2 linked regions of the Arabidopsis thaliana genome follow. The protein of the gene in region 2 purifies or fractionates together with the protein of the main gene of each other region. This does not show direct contact. Each region holds a gene or a part of one and is shown on either strand. Other genes may lie near its edges.

Region 1 (4,477 bases), on a different chromosome or scaffold from region 2:
CTGTAAATATTTTTGTATATATCTGCTCTTTAAAGAAAAACAAGCCGTCTTGCGTTAAGTGTAAGAGAAGAGAGTGAGGAGCAGCGGATAATACCTCCCTCTGTGGCTTCTTGTCATCTAAATCAAACCTATAGTTGGGGAGTGGGATCTTACTGAAGACAACAACCTTAGCATATGCATGACTGCAAAAAAGAAACAGAAATGGTTGTACTAGTGAGAAAGAAGAAAGAAAGGAGCAGCATGATTGATGTACCTATACAATCCCAGGGTTGTAGCCAGAGCAGCAAGTTTATCAAAATCCCGTCTATCTTTTTTCTCCCTGGAAATAACTTCTTGCTTTAAAGAATCTTTCAAAAGCATTGAAAATCTCTTATTCCAATCATCCAAGTCGGCACAGTGAAAGGTACCCTCCTGCTGCAAATTGATATGGTTCCAGTAGAAAGATAAAGGGATTTTTATAAAATGCTACTCGAGAGCAAATCGAAAACTAGAATCGCCATTGTAAGAGCATCAATCAAAAAGCTCAGAGATGCATGAAAAAAAGATGAAGAAGAAGTTAACCGGTTGGCGATCCTCGGAAACGCGGTCATCATAAGCGGAGACATAGCGAACTGGAGAGAGAGGAACAGGATTGAAGCCGTAATCGGAACCAAGGCGCTGGTGAGGCGGAACGTACAGCGAAGGAGGAAGACGATTCGTCATCGGAGCCAAATTCAAAACTCTAAACTCTCTCTACTGTAAGTCAAAAGTAAACTATAAAGAGGGAGAGAGATCTCCGCTGCTTCTTCTAACACTGAACTTGCAACTATGCCAATTTTACCTAATCGCCCTCCAAAAATTTTGTAAACTTAAAAGAAGAATTACACAATTTGGTTTTGCAGTCAAACAGTAATCAGTCTTTCTGAGAGGAAATATAGATTTAAGAGGATGTTTTCACGTTGCTCACATACATATATGATATGATCGTGACTCGTGACTGTCTTTCTTTCTCAGAGACAAAACAAAAAAGGGAAAAAAAAACAAAAGACAACAATGGTCCTTAATCCTTATTACGATCTCTGAAATTAACAAATCAGTAGGTGTAACCCTTGACAAACATTCCTTTCTTGGCATCCTCGTTCTCTCCCTCGGCTGAGTATTTGCCGAGCTGGGCCAGTGAGTTGGCCTTTGCCCTCACCAACAGTGCCTTCTGCGAGGCCTCAATCTTCTCCGGCTTGCCTTGCCATGTTCTGAGCACGGAGTTCTGCAGGGCACGTGCGTATGAGAAGGACACATGCCATGGGTTTGGGCTCTGGTTCATGGCGTTCAGGTTCAGTGTGGCCTCTGCCTCTGATTGTCCTCCTGACAGAAACATGATCCCTGGGACAGCCGGAGGAACCCTCCTTTTCAGCATGGTGAGCGTGAAATCTGCAACGGTCTCGGGAGAGGCCTTGTTCTTGTGCTCAGCGCCTGGGGTGACCATGCTCGGCTTCAACAGAATGCCCTCAAACATGACGTTGTTCTGTGCCAAGTAGAAGAACACCTCTGACCACACTTTCTCTGCCACCTCCAGAGTCCTCTCTATTGGGTGGTCCCCGTCCAGAAGGATCTCTGGCTCCACAATGGGGACAAGACCATTATCCTGAGAGATGGCTGCATAGCGAGCCAGCCCCCACGCAGCTTCCTTCACAGCCAGTGCTGAAGGACCGCAGGGAACACTCACCACTGTCCTCCTAGACAAACACACACAAACATCAAAACTAGGAAGAGCATTTTCACATCAAACCAAAGAGTTAATACCATATGTAAGATAACATGGTGAAATATATGACATACCACTTGGCAAAACGAGCGCCTTGCTTGTAGTACTCAGCAGAGCGTGAGGCCAATCCATCCAAGCCTTGGCACCAAGACTCTTCGTTGGAACCGGCTAGGGGAGACAAGCCCTACGCGGTGGATTGCATTGTCAACACTTCACTCAACACACATAAAAACTCAACTACTTATGATGATGATGACAGAATAAATGGATAAAAAATACCTTGTCAACTTTGATGCCAGGGACGATGTTGGCATCGCGCAAGCAATCGACAAAGGTCTTACCGTCCTTGGTGGACTGGTAAAGAGTCTCCTCGAAGAGAATGGAACCAGAGATGTAATCGCCGAGGCCAGGAGTGGTAAGCAGAAGTTGCCTGTAGGCCTGACGGTTGTCCTCGGTGTTATCCAAGCCGATAGAAGCAAGCCTCTTCCCACAGGTTGCATTGGACTCATCGATCGCCAAGATACCTCTCCCAGGGGATGCAATGCTTTTCTATTACGCAATAATCAGAGAATCTCACTCTACGTTTGACTTTGAGAATTACGGAAACGAATCCAAACTAATAAAGCATCAAAGAGAGAGAGAGGATAAGGAGGATACTCACGGCGGTTTTAACAAGCTCGTCGGAGTAAGCACCGGCGCGGATCGCGAAGGAGACTCGAGGAGGAGGAGAAGAAGAAGCAGAGGTGTGAGCAAAGGAGCGTTGGCCGATCCATGGAGAAGAGAGGGTGTTAGGCTTAACGAAGCTAGCAGACGCCATAGGTAGTACAAGGAAGGTACAAAAGTGATGGTGATCAATCTCTCGGGGACTCCGCGGGACAGAGACAGAGAGAGATCTGGGATTTGGAGGAGAGTGTTAAAGCCAAAGGTTTTGTTTACTACTATTAGTAGTCGTCTACTTTGGCATCACCTACTCCCACCACCAAAAAGCCTCCTTCTCTTTACCATTTTATTCCCCAATTTACCGTAAATGACGCTTTTAACCTTGAGGGAGATACTGGTAATTTTTTCTAGTAGTTCATCAGTCTCTCAACAACAAGAATCTGAGAATAACCAAAACTCTACCGTTTCGTCTACCCAAACTATCCTTCTCCTACCATTGCCTCTTCGTCTAACTCAATCGTTTTTCTTAATTAATCAAATTACATGACCTATCACCTCTTCAAGGAGTGTGATGAAAGAGAATGGGCCGGATATTCCCTTTTTTATCTGTTGGGCCACAATAGTAAACAACTTATATAACAGGCAAACTCTTTTACGTAATTGATTTTTGGGCCCAATAGTAATAGGGCTTAGTTTCAGATAAACAATAAGAGCCCACGACAGCTTTGGTGTTCTTGGGTCTTTTTCTTTTTTTTTTTCCTTTTTATTAAGGCAACCATCCAATAAGTCCAAATATTGGTGTTACTCGTAACAGGCGAGGAAGGTGTAAACAAGAAGAGAGAAAATGCAAGTTCCGAGAAACGTTATATATATGCGACATGAGAAAGTGGCAACTTTTTCTTTCTTGTATCTTACACTACTTTTTTGTATTTTTAAAGTATCTTTGATTTGATAACAGTTTTCTAAAACTGTTGGCCACAATTTAAATGCATATTCATATGTATGTTCAAATTTACAGCAACTCAGTTTGACCCCACAAAAAAAGGGAAAAACAACAACAAAATTCAAGACTATATGACTAAATATGTTCAAGTGCTTCAATTATATATTAGGTACAAGAATATGAATATAATGCCAATCTTATCTTAATCAGAGTAGGAACTAGTAATTTTCATATTTTAAGACAAGTTTGAAAGTTGTTTTAATTAAACATGCGTAAAGTTCCATTCTCTGCTCTCAGATGAATGGCATATCGATCATAATTCACCTAGTACTTCTTCTAGAGTGTTCTACGCTGCCTCTACGTATTAGAATATAGTATATGTAAAAGGTGTTGGTGCAGATCTTTGATTAACACTTTGGTCAGTCACATATCTAATGATTTTTAAACGATAAACCCCAAAACGCGTCTTCATACAGTTCACATGCATATGTCACCCAGAAGAATTGACTCTCAGATCTTTCTAGGTGTTTGTGTTCACACTTCGCCACGCTCTCTCTGTTAGAAACGATTTAAATATACAAACAAAGCTAGTCAGTGTTTCCCATTCGAAAAAAGAGAAAAGACAAAAGAGAGTGTGTTATTTGTCTTGTAATGAAACCTATTGAGTATGGTTGACTGGTTGGTGCGTAGGGAGAAGCAGAAGGTGATAGGACCACGTTGTTGTTTATTTGGCAATTCTTTTACAAGCCCTTGGTCCTGTTTTCTCCATCTTCTCTACTTCATTTGTCATTTTCATTGTTTACTTATTAAATTTACATCCATGTTAACTATTTTCATTTAAACAACAACGTACGTGGACCTATCGACTGATCATCCCTTGGTCGACAAACAATGATGGATCGGAACTTGATTTGGTTTTCTTGAGTTATGTGAAAAAGCATCGCATTATCAATTTTAACAACTTTTCTATAGCTCTTAATTCTGTCTAGCTAATAGACCTATAGTTTCTAAAACAAATACTATAGTCTTGCAAGCCGCATGCTACCTAATGCAGTATATATTTGGATAATTTCAAATTGTCTTTATTATTTCCTCATATTTTTATTTAATTATTTAGATAATTTTTATTTATT
Region 2 (7,378 bases):
GATATGATGCTATCCGATGAACTTCTGACCATGATTATTGATAAAGTGAGTTCTTGAAATCCCATCTCTCTTAGTGTGATGTATAATATTTTGGTAAATTTAGTTAGCACATGCTTCTTTTCTTTCTCTACTTTGTTTTTGCTAGACATTTGCTGATGCAGATTCTGACAAAGACGGTAAAATTAGTAAGGATGAATGGAATGTCTATGTGCATAAACATCCTAGCTTGTTGAAGAATATGACTCTTCCTTACCTAAAGTACCAAATCCTCTCTCTTTTTTAGATTAGCCCTTCCATTTAGGATTTCCTTTACTTTATCATCAACCATATCTGTATTTGAATTTGAAGGGATGTGACGACAGCATTCCCAAGTTTTATATTCAACACTGAGGTTGAAGACTGAGGCACAACTGTCCATGCAACACCGGTCATCTTTTTTCTGCTTGGTCCTGTAATTCGAGTGAGATTGTCATAGCGCAAGAGCAGAACGAGGAAAGAAGGTTTTCCTTATTTTATTTTAAGCCAACGTAGTTGATGATTATTAGCTGTAAGTAAAATTGTCAAGCACTTTGCTTTGTTTTGATGACTTTACTGTAATTGTTCCATTGAAAGTAATGAAGCATTTTTCTTTTCATCTTGCGTCTATGGCAGTATAGTTGATTTAAGTCTTGATTCTACCAAAGTTTGTGTTTTGTTTTCGGTCAATTGTGGAATATATAATTTATAGAAGATGTATTCGAATGAAATAATAGAGTAAGAGACAGAAAGCGTATAATGAGAACACTATGGACAGAATGTGAAAGAGAAGAGTGCGTGGTGAGAGAAAGGGACACAACACAATGGGACAGAGCAGTAATCAAGCAGACACTGCAGCTGCGACTTGTTCTTCCTCTGGGAGGAGAGTGCACACCAGTTTCCTGTCTCCATATACATTGTCCACACGCCCTGTTCCACATTTCAATCATTTGTCACATATCAGAATTCCGAAACCAGAATAAACTGAATCGAAAACCAAATGTGCAATCTATATCTTGGATGGTCTAATACCTGTGGTGGGCCAGAACTTGGAGGAGCGGAGCCAAGGCGCAGGGAAAGCAGCATACTCTCGAGAATACGGCTTTTTCCATGTGTCTGCCATTAGCAACGATGGGGGATGTGGAGCTCCCTGAGAAAACAAACAACCACCAACGTATGAATCTCAACTTCTCCGAACAATATTATTATTGGATATAATTATGATAAGTCTTTGTTTTCCTAATTACCTTGAGAACGTTGTTCTGGACATCTGCATTTCCTTTTTCAATCTGTGCAATTTCTTCCCTGATTGAAATGAGAGCATCGCAGAACCTGTCTAGCTCCGCCTGCAAACGAATATTATTTAGTTTCATCAAGTTGATACACTGAGAGAAGAAAGAGTCAATGAGAGATCTGCATATATCCATATTTACCTTGCTTTCACTCTCGGTTGGCTCAATCATAAGAGTTCCAGGGACAGGCCAAGACATTGTGGGTCCATGGAATCCATAGTCCATTAGCCGTTTCGCCACATCCTCTGGTTCTATTCCAGCAGTGTTCTACAAATTCATATTTGAATCGGTCAGTGATATGCATACCCAAAACAACTACTTTAATTTCAGTTCACAACATTTTCATACCTTGAAGCCTCTCAAGTCTATGATGAATTCGTGTGCTACTGTTCCGTTAACACCACGGAAAAGAACTGGGTAGTGTTTCTGTAAAAACAAATCAAGAGGAAAATTAGACTCCTTTCATTCTCAAAAGATGAATAGGTAAATAGAAGACAAAGATGTTCTACTACCTCTAGGCGCTTTGCCATGTAATTGGCATTCAAAATTGCAATCTTAGAGGCATCAGTGAGCCCACCAGATCCCATCATGGCAATGTAAGTATAAGATATAGGCAAGATAAGCGCAGATCCCCATGGTGCAGCGGATATTGCACCCAAAGGTGCTGTCTTCTCGGGTTGTGGGATACCACCAGTCGGTATCTGTATACATGGAAATGGAAGAAACAAAAAATTAAGGAATTAATCATCAATCACCAAGAAACATAAAAGTGATGAAGGATAAAAGACTAACCACGGGGTGAGAAGGAAGAAATGGTGCCAAATGATTCTTCACACCAATGGGACCCATACCAGGACCACCACCTCCATGAGGAATACAGAAGGTCTTGTGGAGATTGAGATGGCACACATCCGCTCCAATAAAACCAGGGCTCGTCAAACCAACCTACACGTACCCAACACCATGCTCTTACAAATTAGAGAAAATTCAAGATCTCTGTGTTCTGTTTTAGTAAGATATTTCACCTGTGCATTCATGTTGGCACCATCCATGTACACTTGACCTCCATTTTCGTGTATTATGTTGCAAATCTCGTCGATGCCCTCTTCATAGACTCCATGAGTTGAAGGGTATGTAACCATAAGAGCAGCTAAGTTGTCTTTGTTGGCTTCTGCAGCTTTTCTCACCTCCTCAATGTTAATGTTTCCCTTAGCATCAGTTCCAACTGTAATAATTTTCATCCCGCACATAGCAGCACTTGCAGGGTTTGTACCGTGTGCAGAGACAGGTATGATACACACATTACGGTGATGATCTCCTCTTGACTGAAAAATGCATTCATTCATTCACTTTTCAGCTTAATACAATTGAATAGAAGATTGTTAGGTAGAATAAGATCCAAATTTAGGATAAAAGATGTTACCATGTGATATGCGCGGATAACCATAAGCCCGGCATACTCACCAGCAGCACCAGCATTAGGTTGCAACGAGAAAGAGTCAAACCCAGTGATCGTACACAAGAGGTCACCCAAATTTTCGAACATTTCCTACATACATGTGGACAAGATATCAGTTCATTGTTCAACTTTCTAAATCAGACCTCAGATGAATCAAGAAAGTCACTAACCTGATAACCTTGTGCTTGTTCAACAGGAGCAAAAGGGTGAATGTCAGTGAAACTTGGCCATGTGACTGGCATCATTTCAGTTGTTGCATTTAGTTTCATCGTACAAGATCCCAACGGAATCATGCTGTGGCACAGTGATAGATCCTTTGACTGTAACTTGTGGATGTACCTAAGCAACTCATGCTCTGTGTGGTACCTAATCATATTATCAAAATGGAAAACAAAAATGAGATACTGCCAATCCACAAGTAATAAGCCACTCAAGATTCAAAGAACAGAATAATACATGTTGAAGATTGGGTGGGTAAGATAAGGACTCTCTCTTGTTAGGCTAGAAGGAATGGAATTCTGAACCTCGGGTGCTAGAGATTCAGCCGTAAATGGAACCTGAAGCGAATTGAGATAGTCAAATTTCATGCAAGGATCCTAGAAATGATATATCAATAACAAAAAGAGGTATGAACAACACTCACAGGCTTGCCAGAAGCAAAAACTTTGAAAAGTTTATCGACATCATCCAAGGTGGTTGTTTCGTCAAAGGAAGCAGTAATCTGAATTAAGTAATCATATCCAAATATTCAAATCTGTATGATGCTATGAGAGTAAAAACCTTGAAAGGCCAAAGCAAAGGAGACTCACAGTGGTTGAGTCCACAACACGCAGATTAATTTCACTTTTGGAAGCTGCATCAGCAATTGCATGTGCATCCGAACACTTAATTTTAACAGTGTCAAAGAAAGGAAGTTCTTGAACTTCTGCAACCCCAAGCTTGTTCAACCCTAAGGAAAATATACCAGCGAGACCATGGACACGCTGGGCAATAGATTTTAGACCTGCAGGTCCATGGTAAACAGCATACATGGCAGCCATGTTGGCAAGCAACGCCTGCAGGAAAATGAAAAGATGAAGTACTCATCAACATGAATCAACATATCATCTAGTTATCTGAACGAACTAATAGTGAAAAGTGAAAAATGAGTAATCAGATACTAAGAAGTAATTACTTGAGCAGTACAGATGTTGCTAGTGGCTTTGTCCCTCCTAATATGCTGTTCTCTAGTCTGCATAGCCATACGCAGAGCTTGCTTTCCTGAAGAATCAACACTAATACCAATAATCCTCCCAGGCATCATTCTCTTATACTCTTGTGAAGTAGCCAAGAACGCAGCATGAGGACCACCATAACCCATCGGAACACCAAACCTTTGAGCAGAGCCAACAACAATATCCGCCCCAAATTCTCCAGGAGGTTTCAACACAGTCAAAGCCAGCAAATCCGTAGCCATCACAACCTTAACACCATTAGCATGAGCATTCTTAACAAACTCAGCATAATCCAAGACTTCACCTTCAGTACCAGGATACTGAACAAGAACCCCACAAACATCACCAGAGCTGTAATCTATATCCTTAAGATCAGAGGTGACAACTTTCAAATCAAACCCATCAGCTCTAGTCTTACAAACATCAATAGTCTGAGGGTGACAGTTACTAGCAATGACAAAGGTCTTCTTTTTACCCTTAAGAATGTTGTTACACATGGCCATTGCCTCCGCAGCAGCAGTGCCTTCATCCAGAAGCGACGCATTGGACATAGGAAGACCCGTGAGATCTGTGATCACGGTCTGGAAATTGAGGAGCGATTCGAGACGACCTTGAGAGATCTCAGCTTGATAAGGAGTGTATTGAGTGTACCAAGCTGGATTCTCCATGATGTTACGGAGAATGACAGTAGGGACATGAGTGTTGTAGTAACCCATCCCGATGAAGGATTTGAAAACCTTGTTCTTGGAAGCTAAATCAACCATGTGTTGAATCATTTGGCTCTCGGTTAAACCAGCGTCGAATTTGGAGAACTTCATGGAATCTAATCGAATCGATTTGGGCACCGTAGCATCGATGAGTGAATCGATATGGTCAAAGCCACAGAATTTAGCCATGTGGGTTTGTTCGTCTGGTGTTGCAGAGTTGTGACGACGAGGGAAAGTATCGCTGGGTTTAACAGCATCGACGGAGATGGAACGCGTCTGCTGGTGCCTCCCGAAAGCCGCCGTGTGGTTGACAGATCGAGGGGTGGAGATGAAAGGGGAAAGGGAAGAGACATACCTCGCCGGAGCGTGAGGAACAAGGTGAGGTGTTTCAGCGTTACGGTGTCGTTTTGTGTCGTTAACGAGACGTTTGACGATTCCTCTGTAAGCAAGTCTCCTTGCGCGCTCCATTGGGAAAAAAGGTTGCAGTCAGAAAACGAAGAGAGTAAGAGAGATGTTTTGAGAAAGATGGATGTCTTTTTTAGTTTTTCGCCATGAATGAAAGGAGGAGGTAGAAGCTAGCTACAAGGAGGGAATCTGAGAGAGAGTATATACAATATACACTCACGGACCGTTGAATATAAAATGTGTATATTCACGTCCCAAGAAATAGTTAGTTTATAAATACAGAGAAATTTTTGGGAAATAAATAAAAATCCTCAAATTTCGTGGTGTAGGCTCGGATGTGGTTGGTGAAAAGTTGCAGATTCCACGTGTATCGCATCTAAATCAGTAGTGCAATATTGTGCTAATCATTTTATTTTTATGATTAAATTGGATCTCCGACATCTCTTAATTATTTGTTTATTAGTAGCAGTTTCTCCAAACTATTTACATTTTTTCACAACAATATACAATATTTTTTATTGAGTACTAACTATTGTGATTTTAAAAGTAGGATTATTTAGTGTCTTTAGTTCGCAAATTTCTTATTTTCCTACAAAAACTGTAGTTCCCCTCTAATGGGACATACGTAAATTGTAAAGTTTAATCAATGTTAAGTTTTTTTGGTTCTGATTTACATATCCAACAAAAAAGTACGAAAAAATAGAATTTATGCACCAAATCCTTGAGATAATTTACAGGAATTGTGGGATATGCTGTAAAAGCACGAGATAAAATTTGAAAGGAAGGGAACTGAAGTGGAAGAGATTGGGTATCAGTGGACAAAAATGTTTGTCACCTTTATCACTCAGAAAGATAACAACAAATAAATATATATATGGCAAACAAATTTTAATTATTTTGGTTCACATGAAAATATATGATAAATTAGGTGGCGGAATGCGTTTCACAGAGAGTTTATCTCCACAAAGAAAATTTTAATTAAACAGATAAATATAGGGTTCGTCTTTTTCTTCATCATGCATGGGAACCATCGTCATCCATATATATATATATTCGACAGAAAATGAAATATTATAGTTTTCGACCTTCCAAGAATAATATATCTTAAAGATCGTGGAAAAGATTACTCATGAGTCATGACCTACTCTTTTTAAAAACACTTAGTTCATATATATGGTTCTATTATGGCGTTTCTTGAGCTAAATCAAAATGAAGGATTAGAATATGCTCGAAAAGGCGTCAAGAAAATCTTTGGATTTCAGTTGCATACTTGCTTGTAAAAACTAATTGTATTTGTTTTTGTTTTTTGTTCAAAAATTAATTATTTGTTTACCAGCTACAAAAATATATAACATGATTGATAAAGAGTGAATATCTAATAGAATTGATTACAAACATTATTTTGAAACAAATAGAGTGATAGGCATACCTATAATAATTCTGTCCAAAAGAAAAAAGAAAAAGGCATGCCTAAATTTATTACTTTCATAAACAAATAGTAATAATGAAAAGTGATCAAGCCCAAATTGCAAGAGCAGACATCATCCCAGCTCCAAGAAACAAAAAGCAATAAGAAACAACTTGAACTCTGAAATCAACACTCATCTTCTTGCTCAAGAAATCCGCAGCGATCAAATCCACAAGCGCCATGTACACAAGTATCCCCGCAGAGAGAGAATCGAGCACTCCTTCAGCCACCAATGCTGCAACGCTATAAGAGTTGTAAGATGAGGCAATGGCCGTTCCCACCGCTACACCGATCGGAGTAGTGATGGCGAAGAAGAAAGCCATCATGGCAGATCCACGCGGGGTTAGTCTGGCCTCTGCGACGCAGCCACCGAGGGCAAAACCTTCGAAGAATTGGTGGAAGGAAAGAGCGAGAAGGAGAGGACGTATGGTGCATGGGCTATGTGATACTCCAAGCGATATTCCTATGATTATTGAATGTGACACTATTCCCATTTCAAGTATCTGAATACAAAAATATAAGGGTATCATCAATTGATTTTGTGCATCGACACTATACAAGGAAATTATATAAACGGATTGGTTTGACTAAGTCACATAACGTCAAAATATATTAACACACACACACACACCAAAAAAAAAAAATGTTTCCACAATGCGTTTAAGTCGTCATTTGTATCTTTGGAAGAAAACTTAAATAATAGTATGATATTTTAGAATTATCTTATTTTTTCGTTTTCATATTAATAATGTTTTGGTAGAATGAACATGAAGTAGTACTATATATAATAGTTACGAAGATAACATTAAATAATTACT

The links.
Region 1: the proteins of GLDP1 (region 2) and PDE345 fractionate together in Arabidopsis thaliana (co-fractionation; one large-scale study listed by BioGRID). This does not show direct contact.

What each region holds. Positions count from the first base shown.
Region 1 is NC_003071.7:93,934-98,410, forward strand, and holds PDE345 (Aldolase superfamily protein), read right to left. Parts: upstream 2,931-4,477; 5' UTR 2,559-2,930; coding exon 2,403-2,558; intron 2,291-2,402; coding exon 2,021-2,290; intron 1,926-2,020; coding exon 1,816-1,925; intron 1,713-1,815; coding exon 1,073-1,712; 3' UTR 794-1,072; downstream 1-793. Other genes in the region: AT2G01130 (DEA(D/H)-box RNA helicase family protein), read right to left, coding at 95-182, 254-414, 562-702. UniProt on the Arabidopsis thaliana protein: Plays a key role in glycolysis and gluconeogenesis.
Region 2 is NC_003075.7:15,925,996-15,933,373, forward strand, and holds GLDP1 (glycine decarboxylase P-protein 1), read right to left. Parts: upstream 5,428-7,378; 5' UTR 5,156-5,427; coding exon 3,941-5,155; intron 3,822-3,940; coding exon 3,576-3,821; intron 3,488-3,575; coding exon 3,410-3,487; intron 3,324-3,409; coding exon 3,223-3,323; intron 3,133-3,222; coding exon 2,937-3,132; intron 2,857-2,936; coding exon 2,731-2,856; intron 2,633-2,730; coding exon 2,333-2,632; intron 2,253-2,332; coding exon 2,100-2,252; intron 2,009-2,099; coding exon 1,820-2,008; intron 1,734-1,819; coding exon 1,656-1,733; intron 1,575-1,655; coding exon 1,449-1,574; intron 1,362-1,448; coding exon 1,263-1,361; intron 1,166-1,262; coding exon 1,048-1,165; intron 946-1,047; coding exon 857-945; 3' UTR 657-856; downstream 1-656. Other genes in the region: CBL10 (calcineurin B-like protein 10), read left to right, coding at 1-45, 146-258, 349-403; ZIP9 (ZIP metal ion transporter family), read right to left, coding at 6,608-7,063. UniProt on the Arabidopsis thaliana protein: The glycine decarboxylase (GDC) or glycine cleavage system catalyzes the degradation of glycine.